Xenopus tropicalis: one gene and its partners. The protein of the gene in region 1 interacts with the protein of each later gene in a pairwise test. Links are inferred from orthologs where the notes say so. Each region holds a gene or a part of one and is shown in the gene's direction. Other genes may lie near its edges.

What was found. The genes of interacting proteins can lie anywhere in the genome.
Region 2: the proteins of dhx15 (region 1) and rbm5 interact in binary tests that used the Homo sapiens proteins (3 or more experiments, as listed by UniProt). The link is inferred for Xenopus tropicalis from reciprocal best matches to the Homo sapiens genes DHX15 and RBM5.
Region 3: the proteins of dhx15 (region 1) and rbm17 interact in binary tests that used the Homo sapiens proteins (3 or more experiments, as listed by UniProt). The link is inferred for Xenopus tropicalis from reciprocal best matches to the Homo sapiens genes DHX15 and RBM17.

Annotation. Positions count from the first base shown.
Region 1 is NC_030677.2:31,426,282-31,430,533, reverse strand, and holds part of dhx15 (pre-mRNA-splicing factor ATP-dependent RNA helicase DHX15), read left to right. Parts: intron 1-948; coding exon 949-1,142; intron 1,143-1,421; coding exon 1,422-1,581; intron 1,582-3,045; coding exon 3,046-3,264; intron 3,265-4,252.
Region 2 is NC_030680.2:126,299,315-126,303,566, reverse strand, and holds part of rbm5 (RNA-binding protein 5), read left to right. Parts: intron 1-2,035; 5' UTR 2,036-2,077; coding exon 2,078-2,094; intron 2,095-2,203; coding exon 2,204-2,369; intron 2,370-2,999; coding exon 3,000-3,170; intron 3,171-3,563; coding exon 3,564-3,633; intron 3,634-4,196; coding exon 4,197-4,252. UniProt on the Homo sapiens protein: Component of the spliceosome A complex. Binds to ssRNA containing the consensus sequence 5'-AGGUAA-3'. Regulates alternative splicing of a number of mRNAs.
Region 3 is NC_030679.2:84,305,176-84,309,427, reverse strand, and holds part of rbm17 (splicing factor 45), read left to right. Parts: intron 1-2,189; coding exon 2,190-2,328; intron 2,329-3,355; coding exon 3,356-3,507; intron 3,508-3,847; coding exon 3,848-3,924; intron 3,925-4,070; coding exon 4,071-4,169; intron 4,170-4,252. UniProt on the Homo sapiens protein: Splice factor that binds to the single-stranded 3'AG at the exon/intron border and promotes its utilization in the second catalytic step. Involved in the regulation of alternative splicing and the utilization of cryptic splice sites.

The DNA of each region.
Region 1 (4,252 bases):
TTATTTCAAAGAATAATTATCATAGAATGAAGGTGGTCCCTGCTGCATAGACCTTACAGTCGGTGGTTAATATAAGGGCACACATAGTATAGTAATCAGTACTGTTCTTCACATTGGGTAGGGCATTAACCCATTATTAGTCAGATTTTCATATATTTTGTTAGTGCTCTAAATGTAGTTTGCAGTAGTCTAGGTGGCATAGGATAAGGGGATTGTTTTAAGGAATAAGAGCAAGGTTTTAGTTTAGGCCAAAGACTTGAGTGCTTGTCAAATAGCAGAAGGTAGTGAAGAGGTTAACCCAAGAAGTTTTTTGCGTGGTCAGTCAACACTTGGTATAAAAGTAGGGTACAAATAATATAACTATTGATTTAACATCTACTGTATTAATATAGAAATAGCATATAACCATCATTCCTCTGCCCCCCAAGCATCAAAATCCTGACTGGCACAGGGATTGTTTTAGGGTTGGCAGAAAGAAAGAGCATTAGACCTGGATCCCATCATCAAAACATAGAGGAAAATGTTAATTGTTTTAGTTTTAGTGAATACTGTGATGCTCTCCTATATTATCCTATCAGGGTCGGATTGGGGGTCTCCGGAGCCCACCCCTCTGCATGCCTTGTTGCTTTTGCACCCGTTGTGGGGCAGGAGTGCCAGGGTGTGCGACTGAGTCAGTGGGGCCCTCAAGGTGCTCATGGTTCCCAGCTGGCCCACTCTGACACTGTATCCCAGCATCTCACCTATAGATGGGACCACAGCTTTCCTGCATTGCCAGACACCTCCCCAGGAAATCAATGCTCTTTGCTTGTTAAGTAATCTGTGTTCTGTATAAACAGGCACCACACACTTACATGTTGATGTTTGAGATGGTATAATCAAACTCTTGTAATGTACTTTCTCTTGTGAGTGCCTGGGACATATCCACTCTAACATTTATCATTTATTTAGATTCCACAGTGGTGTGTCGACTACATGAGGTCATTGCCTGGTCCCAAAAGAGGCGTTGCATGTACCCAGCCAAGAAGAGTGGCTGCCATGAGTGTGGCTCAAAGAGTTGCAGATGAAATGGATGTCATGTTGGGTCAGGAAGTTGGTTATTCCATTAGGTTTGAAGACTGCAGCAGTGCAAAAACAATCTTGAAGTAAGTTGTCTGAATTTTTAATTTTTTTTTAGTGAGCAGCTTTTTATTTCAAAGGCTGCAGGTTAGGAAAGAGGGGTTAGTTCATTTTAAACAAAATACCCTGTTTATAGGGGGTAAGTTAAGTAAAAAATGAACAGATTAAGTAATTGGAAAGAAATTGTTTTTGCGCAACCTGACAGGTCCAGGGCCCTCAAAGTTTTGTGTGCCATAGGCCTTATAGTTGAATTGTAGTGCTTTTTAAAAACTTTGTTTCTAATTTGTCTGTTTATTTCCCTTTAGGTACATGACAGACGGTATGTTACTCCGGGAAGCTATGAACGATCCATTGTTGGAACGCTATGGGGTAGTGATTCTTGACGAAGCTCATGAAAGGACCTTAGCAACAGATATTCTAATGGGTGTTTTAAAGGAAGTTGTAAGACAAAGGAATGACTTAAAGGTGAGTGTTCCTTCCTAATATGTTTTATGTAATTGTATTTAATTTAGTGTTTAGGGCGAGGTCACAGAAGTGGATAGCCGATTCTCTCCCTGCATTTTTTTTACAAGAAGTGGATTTGGTTGCCTACGCTTCTCTGTGTGCCACTGTTAAAAGCAAAAAAAACAAAAAAGAGGGGTGGATTGGAGATTGGCCTGAAAAACGTGAAAACTGACATTTCCCAAGTTGACCCCCATTCTGTGTGCCCACTTAGGCAGTTTCCATAATTTGTAATGCAGACACAGAGGAGCGTAGGCAATTGGATCCACTTATCTCAGCCTGGCCAGAAAACACAGGGCTAAGACAAGCGGATATAAATTTTGTGTAACCTCGCCCTTAATGTCTGGCATCTCCACCTGCAATTCTCTTTAGCTATATTCATCCAGATTGTGAGCATACAAAGTTGTGTAGGAAGCCAAACTGCAAGCATGATTGTAAACAATTACTACAGAGAAGTCCCTGTTTATGCATTAGATTAGGGCTAACTTGACAGACTAGTTTTTTAGTGAGATGAGGGCAGGGAATGAATGGATTCCTCTGTTATATTGCCGTGCTGTATGGGGAATTTCCAGAGAATATTCTGCTAATGCCACTACAAAATGTACTATCCCCCACAGAACACCTGTAAAGGGGTAAATAATGCAAGATAGTTCGCTTAAATTCTGTGTCATTGTTGCAGTTTATCCAGTTGACCAATGTGGCCAAAATCAGTAACCAAAAATGTGTTGTTTTCTTGTAATCAGGCTATCTAACAGATAGGTCTGATCTTTCTTTCAGGTGTTTCATGGCTTTTCAGGCCCCCTAGTTGTATTTCAGAATGAGGAAGTCTAATCTTCTCAGTGTAGCTGATCATTTATAGAGAGCTGGTTTATTCTTTTTCCCTGTTAATGTAATTACGTTTTTAAGACTTGGACTTGGTATAAGGATTTTATTTAGGTTTTTTTTTTTTTTAGATACCATGACAGCACCAGATATTAATCTGTCTCTTATTGGAAGTGATTTTACAAACAAACTATTATAGGGCAGTGTGCTCCAATGTCTCGTCTTGGGACATGCTAAATATGAACAAAGTATTCCTCTATTGGCTGTAATATTGCAAAAAATTGTAATTTTGTATGCTTAATGAAAACTAATCACATTCTTTCTTTTGTCTTTATTATCAATTTAAGCATGTGGCTTTAATATGTTTCACTTGATATTTTTGCCAGTAAATTTTACAGGGTCAATAAAGGTATCTCCGTGAAGTTTTAAGAAAATACCTCACTGATTTTATTTTCCCTAATATTATTCTTACAATTCTGTAAAGATTGCCTAGTTTTTTTTTTTTTTTTTTTTATAGGTTTGTCAATAGCCTTTAAAGTTTTGTTGAACATGTTGTTAACTTGCTGTTTGCGTCGGTTATATATTTTTTTCTTATTTCTCCCCCAGGTTATAGTTATGAGTGCCACTTTAGATGCTGGCAAATTCCAGGTATATTTTGATAGCTGCCCTCTTTTAACAATCCCTGGACGAACACACCCTGTAGAAATCTTCTATACTCCAGAGCCTGAGCGGGATTACCTAGAGGCAGCCATTCGAACAGTGATTCAGATTCACATGTGTGAAGAGGAGGAAGGAGATCTCCTGCTTTTTCTTACTGGACAAGAGGTTTGTAAGGAGGCAAATTATTTTGCTTTTATATTATCAATTAAAGGGGTGTCTCTATGCAAGCGACGTTATATAATCTAAGGCTTGTATAGGGTTTCCCTTTTATAGTAGTCATAGATGTTTTCTGCCGTCTGAGAAACACAATCTGTCCCCTTTAAAAGTGTATCTAGCAGCAATGAAACATTACCAGAGTTAGTCTGTACATAGTTACATAGGGTTGAAAAAAGACCAGTGTCCATCAAGTTCAACCCATCCGAGTAAACCCAGCACATCTAACCCACACCTACCAATCTATACACTCGCATACATAAACTATAAATACAACCACTAGTACTAACTGTAGATATTAGTATCACAATAGCCTTGGATATTCTGATTGTTCAAGAACTCATCCAGGCCCCTCTTAAAGGCATTAACAGAATCTGCCATTACCACATCTCTAGGAAGGGCATTCCACAACCTCACTGCCCTCACCGTGAAAAACCACCTACGCTGCTTCAAATGGAAGCTCCGTTCCTCTAATCTAAAGGGGGGGCCTCTGGTGCGTTGATTGCTTTTATGGGAAAAAAGAACATCCCCCATTTGCCTATAATCCCCTCTAATGTACTTGTACAGAGTAATCATGTCCCCTCGCAAGCGCACTCTTTTCCAGAGAAACCAACCTCAACCTCGCCAGTCTCACCTCCTAGTTTAAATCTTCCATCCCCTTAACCAGTTTAGTTGCACGTCTCTGCACTCTCTCCAGCTCATTAATATCCCTCTTAAGGACTGGAGCCCAAAACTGCACTGCATACTCAAGGTGAGGCCTTACCAGGGACCTATAAACGGGCAAAATTATGTTCTCATCCCTTGAGTCAATGCCCTTTTTTATACAAGACAGCACTTTATTTGCTTTAGTAGCCACAGAATGACACTGCCTGGAATTGGACAACTTGTTATCTACAAAAACCCCTAGATCCTTCTCCACACACTACCATTCAGTAGATAG
Region 2 (4,252 bases), on another chromosome or scaffold:
ACGTGGTACCGCGATTTGACAAAGTTTCCTCTTAAGGCAGCTTTGGCAAATCGCAGCCATTTACATTCTAGCTGGGGAGATTAGTCACGACACAACAAATCTCCCTTGTCGCGGGCGACTAATCTCCCCATGTGTCCCAGCCCTTAGGTCTCATAAAGTGATTGCAATAGCTGGGGTTGATTAACATTGGCACTTTCCAGTGATTAGATCTTAAAAGTAATTATCACAAAAGAGTTCATATAACTAGGTTAGGAAAATCCATTTGGGGGATCCAAGAGATTATTTGGGATAGTGAAGACTTTATGTAGCAATGTATTCCTATGACTGGTATAAGTAAAGTTGGAAGCTGCTCATATTCAATGAAGGGGTTGTACCAGAGAGTCAGAAAACCATGGCTGTAATAGGATTCATAACAAACTAATGCGCTTGAGCGATAAACAGGAATGCAGGGCTTAAGCTGGCCATACATTATAAGATCTGCTTGTGGGTTGTTTTGTGTATCACCGCCCTCTTTGCAGCTTGTTTGATGAGAATCCCCAGGACTATTCTTGTGCAAAGAAACCTGTTTAGACTCACAGCCATTGTAACCATAGTCTTCTGCTGCTCATTTGGGCTTGTACTAGGGCCAGGATAATGCAGTCGCTACAGTTTTGACAGGTTTGTCATTTTGTTGTTAGAGCTAATGCTGAAAATATTTGCTTTTTAAATGCTGCAAAATGTCTGGAATCGTACCATTGCTCGCACTCTATCGCCTCAGTGATTCACTAAAAAAAATTTTGTCCTACCATTTGTCATTGACAGCTGTTTAACGTGACATATCTTTGTGATGGCCAAACCCAAAGGGTTTTTTATTACAAAGTGGGCAGTGACTATAGTGTATAGGTGGCCAAAATGGGCAGATTCAGCAGCTTATCTGCTGTGTATGGACCCCCGACGGATATAAGGGGGGTCCATCTATGCTCTGATGGTCATTGTTAGGTAGACAAATCAGAAGGAAGATCAATCTCGCCAAGCAAATGAATCCTTAACATGTATGGTCTCCTTAACTTGTTGATTACTCTGATAACCCCTTTGAGAGCTGCCTGCACTACTTGTATTGGTTAGTGACATGTATCATGTTGTGACAAATTGGACCAAAGTTTTTATTCTGAGAGGCAAGGAACTTTGTATGGGTGTCTAAAAATTAGGGACCATTAGTCCATACTTGTGACTTCATTTGACTGCATGTTTGTTTTAATTATTTGTTAAAACTTCATCTATAAATAAAATATATATTTGAGTAGATACACATTGGCATGCTTGTGTTACAGTACTAAGATAGGGACAGAAGGGGACATATTGAGTTGGTCACGTGGAAGCTTCATAGAGCCAGAATCCATGGAAATTAGCTTCCTTTTATGTAATATTTTGCAATTTAAAGCCCATGTCTGTAAGTATAGATTTATTAATTTTGTAGTACATGTCCCTTAATTCCAGTCTTGTTAGGGAGCAGGATTTAAGCTCAAGGTTAGTTTTGTGTAGACCCAGCAATTTTTTTTTTTTTAACGTGCGCTAAAGGGTTGGGGGATATAGCGACTGCAGCAATGTTTAGTGCTCTATCATCCAGAGAAAGGAAGTGGAATCTTGCTGAACAGGAAGCTTTGTGAACACCTCTAATGGGGGGGAAACCATTTTTGCATGATAGGTGCCTTTAAGTCCTGCCATCTGATTGGTAAGCCAGTGTGCTTCCACACAAACTAAGGGCCTGTGTATGGCTACTATTCCCTTTATAACTGTAATTGTTAAGCAAACTGAAGAACAAGAGAGTTTAAGGTATTTGCATTTGTAAACCTTATTTTGTACATGTAAATTTGAAAAGATCCTTTGGCATTTATTAGGAGGTACATTTTATAAAAAAGTTCTCTTTAAAAGTCTGTAACTGCTGAAACGCCTGGTGAATGGTGTACAAGTATACACTCCGCCTTGCCTTTTACTGATTACGATAAACTATTCCACTGCTGACATCAATGTGTTTCTGTCCCTCCCCCCGATACAGACTTTATCACAGCCACCGCTTGCTGATCTAAAAGTGTGAGCCATGGGATCAGATAAACGGTAAGACTTGAAATTTTATTTATATCTTGTATAGCAACATAATTTATGCAGTGCTTTTTCCGTTAAACTGTCTTTAGATGATGAGCATTATTAAAATCAAATTTTACAGTGTGAGTCGCAGTGAGCGGAGTGGAAGATATGGTTCAGCATTTGATCGAGATGATCGCGATGATAGAGACACTAGGAGCCGTCGCAGAGATTCTGAATACAAAAGATACAGAGATGAACGCAGCAGCGAACGCTACGATGACTACAGAGATTATGACAGTCCCGAGGTGAGTACGCTCTATGAGGATTTTAAAATTATTAAACATGTCAAGTTTACACTGAGCCCATATTAAAATCATTGCAGATAAACAAAATTGATTGTAGCTTATAAAAGCAAATCCCATTCTTTTATGGCTAATTATTGTAAGGTCTGTTTTGTTAGCTGAGAAATGCCTTAGGGCTTATCAAAGAATATACCATGGGGTGCATTTATTAACACTGGAGACATCCATCAATGATGATGTTACCCATAGCAATGAATCAGATCTTTGCTATTGTTTTAGGTGACCATTAAAATGTAAATGCTGATTGGTTGCTATGAGCAACATCACCTGTCATGTTTGTCTTCGATGTTAATAAAGTACTCCCCCATGTTTAGCTTTTATACTGATTTTGGTAACAAGTAGCATGATTGTAGATTTTTTTTTTTTTTTTTTTAGTACAGCAGTGTTACATTAATGTCACTATGTGACATGAGTACTTGGAATAGTATATAATACTAGTTTACTTTATTCAAAACACAAGTTGCCTCATTTTAATTACACAGTAGGTTGTGTAGGTAGTCCTGTGTTTCATTCAGATTCTATAACTCTGTGATGTTTTATTTCTGATGTCTCTCGTTTTTGTAACTGTTTTAGCGTGATAGAATGCGTGACAGAGAGAGGAGGAACAGTGATCGTTCAGAAGATGGTTATCATTCAGATGGTGACTATATGGACCATGACTACCGGCAGGACTATTACATGGATGAAAAAGAGAGCAAGACGATCATGCTAAGGGGCCTCCCCATTAATATTAATGAGAACGACGTGAGTTATGCATGCAGTTTTTCCCACTATAGTTCTTTCAAAACATTTAGCTAAAGTGAGGCTTATGATTGGTCTGCAGAATGGAGTAGGTTGGCTTTACTTGTCATTTTAATATATTGCAGCTTACAAACATTGCATATTTGTCTAGGCCACCGTTACATGTAAAGAGCTTGTCAGTGACTGAAAAAAAAAAAACTGAAGAGGACCCACATAGAAAAGCAGTACATGTAGCTTTACCTAGCAGTCTAACAAATTTACACTTCAGATTGGAAAGCTAGAAAGAATTCAAAGCTTATAAGCCTTTTGGTGAAGTGTGTAGTAGGGGGAACATAACAATTTAAAGCATGTTCAAACAGGCATTGTTTCCCCACTTAATGATTTTGTGCATTTTAGATTCGTGAACTAGTGGAGTCTTTTGAAGGACCGCAGCCTGCTGATGTGCGGCTGATGAAGAGAAAGACAGGTGAGGTTCTATCTGGCGTGAGGCTTTGGACTGTTGCTCTTTCTGAAATCCACTACTTTTACACTGCTCTCCCCTTTGGTGATAAGGCCCCTGCTCATCCCACATTCAAAATCAGGCTTTTATCAACCTTTTATGGCTAAGGAACCTCTTAGTTTGAAATTTTGTGATTTTGTTTTATGTGTAGCATATTGTTAAATGAAGACTTTGGTAAGTAGAACTGTAGGCTTTTACTGTTGCACGGGTGGTTTTACCACTCCTTCCTGAATACAACTGATGGACTTGGAGTCTTCAGTACCTGTAACACATGTGGGGTGCAGCCTCTTGGTAAGCACTGTACACGTGACAAAATTATAGGATCGTGGGCATAAATTGCCTGGAGGTTCCTTTTTTTGTTTTTATGGCAAGCCCTGTATAGACAGGTAGGAGGACTACACCCATGGAAGCCATGCCATAAAGCACTGCTAGAACCATGGGCTTTGTCAGTTGGAGAGATGCAGCTGTGTTTTATGTAAAAGGAACTAACTAACACTAGTATCCCGTCTATATCTGAATGCTGTCTCTAGGTTTAAGCCGCGGTTTCGCCTTCGTGGAGTTTTATCACTTGCAAGATGCTACCCGC
Region 3 (4,252 bases), on another chromosome or scaffold:
GTAGGGCAGGCAGTGTATGGCACACAGGCAGCATAGTGCAGGCAAAACATGGCACACACAGGCAGGGTAGGGCAGACAACATGGCATCCACAGACAGCAAAGGGCAGGAAGAGTTTGGCACACAGGCAGCATAGGGCAGGCAGAGTATGGCACACAGGCAGCTTAGGGAAGGCAGAGTATCATACTGTGCCATACTCTGCCTTCCCTATGCTGCCTGTGGGAGGTGAACCTGGCAGGGGTTTGTTTTGGGAGTTTGTTAGCAGTTGGTAATAGCCATTAAATGGTCACTAAGGTGTGTAATTATGTGCTGGGGGTTTCTGGGCTATCCACAGGGGAGAAGGAGGCATATGGATTTAAGGCTGTGTCTTAATATGACATACTATAATTCTTTCACATATGAATGATGGTTGATATCCCTCCAGTGAGGACCAAGCATTTGGGTTTTTGCTGCGCTACTACCATTTATCACAATGGTAGTAGTTCAGCAAAAACCCAAATGCTTGGTCCTCACATGGGTGTTGTTTGAAGTGGGTGTGGTTTAAAAAGGGGGAGTGGTCAAACTGACTCCCGTTAGCGGCCCTCCACTATGTATGCTAGAGAAATTTGGCCCTCGGCACCACAGAAGTTTGACTGGTGTAAGGAATGAGGTTGTTCAGTAAGAGAATGGGCAGTACCTCTAAACTGTTCATGAACTTGTGGGGAGGTATAGGTCTCAGTCATAGACTGCTGTATGTTTTAGCTCAGACTGTAAGGCCCCAATATAAGCTATAGTATTTCTAGCCAAATAATTTGTTGGGCTTTAATGTTGCTTTAATTCAATTCAGTCTGGTATCTCCAACTTTACCAGATTTACCACCACTAGATGGCGGTTCATTCAAATCTGTGAAAGATGACTGCACGAATCTGTATTAAAGGATCATGTAACTAACACAACAATCTGTGCTTGAATTGTTTGACATCTGTTTAATCAGTTAAGAAAATTTAAACTTGAAACACATATATTTACCATTGTAGGAAGTGTAGGAAATCCCAATGCTGGCACCAATTTAAATCATGGCAGGTGCCAGAACATTGAATGGAAGACCTGTTCACCAGTAAACTGCCCCAGGGATGGAAATGGCTTTTAAAGGAGAACTATACCCCCGGGCGCAAAAAGCTCCCTTAACTATAATTGCTTAGATCCCCCCTCACCTCTCCAATATTGCATAGTTTTAACGTTTCTACTCTGCTCCTATCGCTAACCGCTAGCTAAAAAAACAGATAAGCGCAGCCACGTACTTCACCGACATCTTACTGGTTGAAGACACTTCGGGTCTCTCTGCCAATACGAACTTGCTTGGCCACGCGCAGTTGGAGGTAGCCTGAAATCTGCTTCAACTGTGCATGCGCAAGCAGGCTAGGTGTCAGTGGTAAGACCTGAAGAGTCTTTAGTCAGTAAGAAGATTTCTCTGTATTAAGGGAGAGGTGAGGGGGGTCTAGGTAATGATAGTTAAGGGGGATTTTTGCGCCTGGGGGTATAGTTCTCCTTTAACAATTATGAGTATCCACTCAACTGCTTGGTAAATAAATATTGAATTGAATTAGAGGTTATAGTGCACCATTTATGTTAGGACTGCAACTACTTAAGTGAGCAGTTGTGTGTTGAACTTAAAGTTGCTTTAGTTATTTCCCAACTTGTAGAAAAGTGAGATAACTGCAGTTGACTTATGTGACGACTTGCTTTTTAAAATCACCAATACATGCAACAGGGGCAGTAATCCATGGCAACTAATTGCCAGTTTTTTGCTTTCAGTGTTTTGCCTAAAGCAGGCTGAAAATTGATTGATAACTGCAGTAATGGGTTACTGCACAGGTGCAGTTTTGCCCAATGTTAATAAGTGAGACCAAAGTGTCCTGCAGGGCCTGTATAATGCATAAATTAATGAATCAAATGATGCAAACTTTTAGTTCACAAGTATCTGTGGAACAATATGGGCAAGTTGATTTGCTGCCCATGGGCCAACAGTGAAAACCAAAAGATTTGCCTTCTGCATACAGGCTATCGTATGGATCCTGTGAAGAATTACAAAATGTGTAGCAGCTAAAATGTTGTGCCCCCTATACACACAATTTCTACTGAATTGCTAAAGAGGCAGTAACAGTTTTTAACCTGTCATACAGTTTGTTCTAATTATGTGTTTTTGATCTAGCTATTGTGCCTGCTTATGATGACGAGCCAAGGCCACGACCACCAATGGCAAAGGCTGCAATTCCACCACCTATGTATGATGAGCCAGAGAGACCAAGATCACCAACTGGGCCTAGCAATTCTTTCCTTGCAAATATGGGGTATGGAATATGGTTTTCTGTGTAAAAGAGTAGCTTACAATATTGTATACATTTATAAATAGTTTTGAAACTCTGACTGATAATTATACACAGTCCTATTAATTTTATTATCCTCAGACATGATCCAGTATCCCAACTGATTTCTCTTTTTCTTTTAAATGTAGCATTGAAAGACAATGCCTTACCTCATATATGATTGGCTAAACATACAGTACTTGCTTTTGGATGTATTGAATTAAGATGTATGCTGCTGATTCAACCTCTCTTGCACAAAATCACAGCCAATTATCCTGCGTGGGGGACCAAAACGATCTTTCTGGTCCAATATTTTTCAGTGATTATCAGATAACTGGACAGAGGAAAATCTGGTTGTCCCCAACTACATCGGGCTGTATATACTCTATATTCAGCCACACCGCACAACCACTTACATAATCCGCATATTGAACTGGCGACCAGACACTTAGATTGGGCTAATTTGTAAATCAATAAATGTTTGATCTTATGGAGTATAGTGATGCTAACTCAACAGTGTCCTCCAGTGCCTAATGTATTATCAAATGTGGCAGAATGCTTGTCTGGCTTTGTATGATATTTTTTGTACTAAACATCTCTCAGACATGGGACTGCTATTGTTTTACAATAGAAACAAAACGCATCTCACCTGTCCCTGTCCGGTGTTCCATAGGCACATCTCTAGGGTAATTACTGACAGGCAGATAGTGGTGTCTTTGCACTGGTTTCCACCTGAAACTTCACTGTGACGATCGAAAACTCATTCTGTGTGATTAGCCTAGATATTTTCTTTATGAAAATCCTTAGGGATAATTAAAAATTAAGGTGCAGTGGCATATTAGGTAACTTTTCTGAAAGTATGTATAAAACTGAAATGGGCAAAATTCCATGTATATATGGTGACTGTGCTACTCCCTTGCTCATCACTTTATATGGGTTCATATTTACTTACAGCTACTGTAGGGGGCAAAAATAAGCTGAGGTTTTGTGTACTTTGTTTCTGTTTTTAAAGTGGTACTGTGGCCCACAAAATCATGCAGAAGTATGGCTTTCGGGAAGGACAGGGCCTTGGCAAGCACGAGCAGGGTCTCAGCACTGCACTTTCTGTTGAAAAGACAAGCAAGAGGGGAGGCAAAATTATTATTGGTGACTTAGCTGACAAAGGTTTGTTGTTTTGAGTAACAATTTTCAGATACTAATATATAAAGTGTGTGTATGGATATGTGGATATAACTTATGTAGTGCATATAAATAAATATTTTTGTTTTTTTCCCAAGTTTTTTTTTTTTTTTAACATGGGTGTGTGTGTGTATGTATGTATGTATGTATATGTGTATGTATATATATATATATATATATATATATATATATATATATATATATATATATATATATATACACAAAGTCAAGAGTTTCACAATAACGCCTAATAGTGCAGATTCCTTGCTTCATTGGTGATTTTTTTCATTTAAAGTGTTTTAAATAGAAATTTAATCTCTTACAGTTGAAGCAGCTAAGAAAGCAGATCCAAACCCTCTGACAGAAATACTAAAGAATCCTACTAAAGTTGTTTTGCTTCAGGTAAGAAGGGCAGCAGCCCAAGGTTTATCGGCCAAAAATATGTTCATAGGGAGACTTTTTTATAATTGTAATTTGCGCTTTTTCTGCTATTGGAAAACACTCAATTTTTGTTGTCAAAAGCTCATTCTGCTGATTTCTACTTCTAGAACATGGTAGGTGCTGGGGAAGTTGATGAAGATCTGGAAGCTGAAACAAAGGAAGAGTGTGAAAAATACGGCAAAGTTGGAAAATGTGTCATTTTTGAGGTAATAACCAGCATGTATGGTATAGGTGTCGTGCTTTTGCTTTACTTAGTACTAATGATATGAGTGCTGCCTTAGTATGTTAT